Linked DNA regions of Xenopus tropicalis. The protein of the gene in region 1 purifies or fractionates together with the protein of each later gene. This does not show direct contact. Links are inferred from orthologs where the notes say so. Each region holds a gene or a part of one and is shown on either strand. Other genes may lie near its edges.

Region 1 (2,247 bases):
CTACAAAAGTGCTTTAACATTAAAAGAATTAGATAGGAAACTAGCGTTCAGCCAATAATAACCAGGAAGAAAAATTGATTCTTTTGATATTTCATAAAGGTAAGTAATCTTTGCAATCACTGATCTATTTTTATTACTTGGATTTTCTTTTTACTAAAACATTTTTGAAAATCATTTTTATTAGTTCAGTTTTGAAGCTACAGACCAGGACAGCACTGCTAACACAGGCTTTTCCCATCTGCCACCTGCTCTCAGTAAGGGATTTCCCAGATCAGGACTTGGAAGGCAAATAAAAAAAAGTTGACACTGAACTGGTTTGTGCACAAGCCTTCCCTCTGCTGCTTCACTTGCATATTGTGATACAATCAGCTGGTGAGATTCAGCCAATCGGATCAATGTAATGCAAATGAAGCAGCAGAGGGAAGGCATGGGGGGTAACCAGCTCAGTGTCAACTTCCTGGTTTGGGCAGAATGCAAGCTGGAGTTGCTGATCCCTTCATAAGACAACTGAGAGAGCAGAGGAGAGAGCCTGTCAGCAGCACTGATCCTTGTCTGTAGCTTTAAAACTAAGCATTTTAAATAATAAAGATTTATTTTTTCTGACAGGGGTTTTTCAGATTCAGACTTTTGTCCAGTCACTAGTGGTAGTAATCTCACCAACCAAAAAGATGACTAATTGGGGAGCCTGTTTACTTTAAAATAAACTTTATACCCCCGCCCTTAAAACTGCTTGCTTTTCCAATGTTTTGTTCAAACAAATGCCTGATTGGTAGGGTTTCAGTCTCACAACCAGTTTGAATTACAAACTCAAATCAAATAAAAACATTCTGTGTATGTAATAATTTGATCAAACTATGTACCAAAAATGTAAAATCTGCAAACAAGATAATTGGTTTTCACCAGTTATATAATAAATATTGAATGGCACTCAATACAATGTAAGAATGAAGCATTGCAAGTTGAACTCTGATAAACTAAAGTTTAAAAGTAGATTTGTATGATGGGATTTTTCTGACTATTCTGGACTCATTGACTTTTATAGTTTTCTCTCATTTCAAAGAGTAACACACTGAACATTTGGAAATTTCCTCTAAACAAAGCTGTTGTGTAACTATAGGGGCAGGCATAGACCGGCAACATGGCAAATGCCATAAACAGTCCCTATGTATTGGACTGGTAAGGGGGCGGTTTGGGCCTCTGTGTAATTTAAAATAATATTCCGAATTCCAGTCCAGACCTGAATAAGGGGTAGATAAACTCTGTAAAACAATCTGTTATCTGCTATAAAACCTGTTCCTTTTCTACTTTATTCAAGATTGCATGGCTGCCCCCGTGGCCTACACAGCAGCTTATTTATATTAATACATTTTTTGGTGTTACTCTTCTTCCTTTAAAATTGCATGTGCCATTGCCCTAATGATATCAGTGTGCAGCTGATCTAATGATAACCGCAATCGTAAACACTTTAATGCCATACTATAAACCAAAGCCAGCCAGCCACAGATGGGCCAATAAAAGCTGATGATTCATCCCTACAGTCAAAATCTTGAGATCGCTAGTAAATCAGCCAAATATCTATCATGCAGGTTTGAAAATACTGTTGGGTGAGGATAGTATAAGAGTGTTCATGCCATCACCTCCAGACAGCTCTGCCTAGTCCCAGATCAGATGCATTTTGGCCCTGCACATAGGTGTCAAACAAGTAATTCTACTTGTGTATGGGCATCCTAAATTATTCTTATTTTTACTGCCAGAATATTTATCCCCTCCATAAACGCAGAGTATTTTTTTCACCTTTGTTGTCGATTATCTCCATTTATTAGGAGAAACCCTTCTGGCAACAAACGGGGCCTGTAATGCAAGGACCTCTAAACAAAGAAACAATAGCGATATAAACAGAATATATATTCTATAATTTAAAAAGAAAAAAAAGGCAAGATGCAGCATTTCAGCAGCAAAGTGCTTAAAATAAAATGAAAAAAAAAGAAGAAATCCAGCACAGTACACAAAAAGTGGATGGACTTCAGAGGAAGTACGGTGTGGTGGTTCTGGGAGGGATAACCCGCTCAGAGTCAGGAACAGCTCGAAAGAGTTTTGGCTCTCGGGTGTTCACATCCTTGAAAACCATAATAGAGGCGATGTTGCCACAACGGTAGCAGTAGTTAGGAGCTGACCACACAGTCACAAGCTTCTCATCAAACATGAATTTGTAGCCCTCATGCACTAACTGGTGCGCTCTGCAAATCA
Region 2 (4,077 bases), on another chromosome or scaffold:
ATTTCAGAGACCTGCAATGTTCAGGGGGAAGTATATTTACTTTTCAGCATGAATTCCATGCTGAGCAAACTTTTTGTGCTGAACATACTTTTTGTCTATTGTTTTAATTTAGAATTATGTATGGTTTTTGTTGTTTCTTGAGCTAAACAAGTCAAATAAGGAAACCGAAGCTACACCATATATTTGGTCCCTGAAAGCTAGATAATTAGATTACAAGATGACAGGCAGTCCCCTGCATAATAGATCACTTCTTACCTTTAAACCAAAACAGTCACAACAAAGGGGGAAAGGATGGGGTTGCTCACTGGTAATCTCACAAGACCCAAACAGGACAAAACCCTTGTTTGTCCTGTTTAACTCAAGATATAATAACCATAGATAATGCTTAATTAAAACAAAAGGCAAAAAGTATGTTTAGCCCAGGCCCTAATCCTTTAAATACTGAGATGTTTCTTTATTTGGTTAATTTAGTTTTCAGTAGGTTTTTACGGATTTCTTTTGAAAGAACATACCATGACCCAGTGGCACCTAAATCAAATTCACACCCACTATGGTCAATTTTGTCAGGAGCCAATAAACCTACCCACACATTTTAAATGTGAGGAAATCAGGGAACCCCGAGAAAAAGCATTTTTAAATTTTAATTGTTGCCACAACTCCTTCAGGTATCTTTAAGTAACAAAAAGGGCATTATTTAATTTTTTGCGCACCCAAGGGCAAGTCTAAAAAAGTGGCTTTATAGGGCAGCCTTAGGTCTATATGATAAAAAAAAAATTTAAAACCCAGCCCATCACTGCACAATTGTAGGAAATACACAAAAGGTGCATTCAATAGCAATTACTTTTAAAAATGATTTTAGAACCATTAAAAACATTTAATACATGTATGTTGGGCAACTGCTTAGACTTGTTATTTTTTTCCATTAAAAAATCTGTTTTATGCTTGCATATATGCCGGCTCACAATGTGCGTCAAGTTTAGTCCAGTAGTCCAAAAGAAAATTAACAAACTACATTTTTACAAAAAAAAAAAATTATATTATACACAATATATATACACATATATACACAATTGTATACATGCCTAGTGGACTGTAATTCTTGCTACACTTGCTGTGTCTCTTTTTTTGTAAAAGTGCTTTGTCCTTACAGTTCTTGGGGTATCATAGCCCTTAGAACCCAGAACTATTCAGTGAATATAATGAAAAAAAAAAAGCTATTAAAAGAACAGAAAACTTTACATAACTCATTTACTTGCACAAAACAGTAAATCCAGGTGTTAAACAAGGACTAAAGAACCAATGTCCTATTTGTTCATTGAACTATTGCTGTCCCTTAAAGCTAGATATGCTTGGAGATACCAGAATCGTCTTCCTCTTTTTTTATTCTGCAATGTTTTAGGGTTGCCAAATTCCACTTCTATCACTAAGCAATCTGCAAGGGTTAGCATTAACCTCTATTGGGCCAATATGTGAGTATGGGTAACTGTATTACAGTGGGTGAGGTAGTTTTGGGCAGGAAGGGAGCAGAGATGTTATTGTTCTCTATGTGACAGAATAAATAGATAAACATTAAATGTTTATTTACTGTCTGTGTAACAGGTAACACCCCTGGGTGTAGAATGACCACAATAAATGCCTACTAATTTGACCAGTCAGTCTCTAGTAGGACTAAACCAAAGCTGATCAGGAAAAACAAACAAGCTGTCTGATTTCTTCATTCTACAGGTTGCCAGCTGCAATGGCAGACATATGTATATGATTCTCACTGTATTTATCTGACATTTATCAAGACATTTGTTTCCATGGTGCATGCTACACACATAGAGGCACTGCCATACAAAGCAAAAATCAGAGGCTTAAACACTCACTTAATAAACATGGGCGGGAACATGCAAATAACTTGTTTATGCCCCTATAGCCAACTATGTCTCCATACCAGCTAGATTAAAAGCAAAGATGCCGCCTTATTATGCAGAGCCAAACATCCATACCTACAGAGCCTTATATATGCATCCCAACCAGTCCCTTTTGCATTTACTTATTATGTTAAAAGTGTCGTCCACCTTCATGCACAGAAACCTAAGTGCAAAAAGTCTAAGCGCAGCTAAGTATGCAGAGTGAGTTTCTGTGATAGCCACAATTGTTTTGCTTAGCAGCGCTTACTTTTCTACGCTCCGGGTCGCTGTATGCCAATTGCGGGCGCTGTGAATGTGAAGGGAGAGGCGGAGCCTAATTAGCCGAGCAAGGAAGGTCACGTGTACGGTGTCCATTTTGGGACATCTATGCACCAAATTCAAGTGCTTCCTGCCCTCTCCCCCTTTTAAAAGCCCCGTCTTGATAAACAATTCTTTATTGGCCCCTCCCCTACCGTTGGTAACAGTTATGAGATTGCCTCTTACTTTGTGCTGACGGGTCAAGGCTTCCCCATTCATCCTCCTCCCTGCGATGTCACCCTTTGTCCCTCCTATAGGCGACGTCATCCCTGAGCCCTCCTCAGAACGATGTCATTCCTCGGTCTTCCTCCATCATTCTAAAGGGCTCCAGAATTCTTGCTCCTCCATCCGCCCTGCTTTCCAATTTCACACAGCTCCTCCCTGATTCCTCCCCCTTCCGCCCTGTGTCGTTCTTCATAAACCATTCCCCTTGTAATGCCGTTTCACAATCCCTCCTACTTTATTTTAACATATGCTGTAATTAAAACTATACATTTCAGTCCCACTCTTTTGCTGAGAGAAACGTCCGATTTCCCAAAGCCTCCTCTGATGGTCAGGAAAACGTTGAGCAAGAAGATTCAAGGAGAGTACGTTACAGTACTACGGTGTCCATTTTAGGACGTACATGTGCAAAATGACAGCGCAACTTGCTCCCCATTGAAAATGTCTGTTATTAATACATCTTTGTAGCACCTCCACGGGTCTGCTCTTTCTCTGTTCTCCATTTACCTGAAAAGGTAACCATATATCATAAGATTCGCTCGTTTGGCGAGGTAATTAAACTAGCAGATCTTTCTCCCACCTAAGGGCTAATTAGATCATTTAGCAAAAAATGATTAAGTTATGACAGCTATGGGAGTGAGGACTGTATCAATGAGCTGATGCATTCCTGCCCCAGGGAGGCCAGTTGGGGGCCTTATACACTGGCAGATAAGCTGCAGAATTGGTCTTAAAGGACATATCAAACATATTTTTTTGCCTAATAAAAGAAAACATAATTCTAGGCACCCTGTTTTTAAAGATGCAAATAAAGGTTGTAAGCTTTTAACATCCTATGGTTATCCAGTGTGCGTTAAGCCCCCCACCCCCGAGTTGGACCCTGAATAACTTACGGTATTTAGAATTAGGGGCACTGCTGCCATGAGGCAATTTGAGAATCTCGCCCTAGGTGGCAGCACCTGGTGGGTTTCCAGGGGTGGCTCCTGGTAACTCTTCTAGTGCAGACTGCGCACTCTGCATTAGTGATGTGGCCCCTCCTGACCCCCCTATCCCCATGGTAACAAGTTAAGCATAGGGGGAGCAGAACATACTACCTAACAGTATTCACATTTAAAGGAGAAGGAAAGGCAAAGTCACTTGGGGGTGCAAAAATGTTAGGCACCCCTAAGTGACATTAACGGCTTACCTCGTACCCCGGGCTGGTGCCCCTGTTCGGAAAAAACAGCACCAGCCTGGGGTACCTGTAGTGCAGCGCTTCCTGCTTCCTCTTCCTAAAATGCCAGCGGTCGGCTCTTGCACAGTAGAGTGAAAAGCCGACTTTTCTGTTAAAATTCGGCTTTTCACTCTACTGCGCATGCGCGCACATGGAACCAGGAAGGAGGAAGTGATCGCAGCTACCCCGGGCTGGTGCCGGGGTCTGAACAGGGGTGCCAGCCCGGGGTAAAAGGTAGGTGATTTAAGTCACATGGGGGTGCCTAACATTTTGGCACCCCCAAGTGACTTTGCCTTTATTTCTCCTTTAAGGGTGGTGTACTTTTTAGTTAAGTTTAAGTATATTATAGAATGCCCTAGCAGTAGCCAAAAACTACAAAACTAACTGTAGCCCTGTGAGGCTAAAATGTTATTGTTATTGTTACTTTTTTAT

Evidence for each region. The genes of interacting proteins can lie anywhere in the genome.
Region 2: the proteins of ppp6c (region 1) and ppp6r2 purify together in Homo sapiens (affinity purification with mass spectrometry; 9 studies listed by BioGRID and IntAct, counting the BioPlex papers as one, with this or other methods). This does not show direct contact. The link is inferred for Xenopus tropicalis from reciprocal best matches to the Homo sapiens genes PPP6C and PPP6R2.

Annotation. Positions count from the first base shown.
Region 1 is NC_030684.2:28,164,298-28,166,544, forward strand, and holds part of ppp6c (serine/threonine-protein phosphatase 6 catalytic subunit), read right to left. Parts: coding exon 2,024-2,247; 3' UTR 1-2,023.
Region 2 is NC_030679.2:89,187,913-89,191,989, reverse strand, and holds the start of ppp6r2 (serine/threonine-protein phosphatase 6 regulatory subunit 2), read right to left. Parts: upstream 2,810-4,077; 5' UTR 2,400-2,809; intron 2,294-2,399; exon of another isoform or gene 2,164-2,293; intron 1-2,163. UniProt on the Homo sapiens protein: Regulatory subunit of protein phosphatase 6 (PP6). May function as a scaffolding PP6 subunit. Involved in the PP6-mediated dephosphorylation of NFKBIE opposing its degradation in response to TNF-alpha.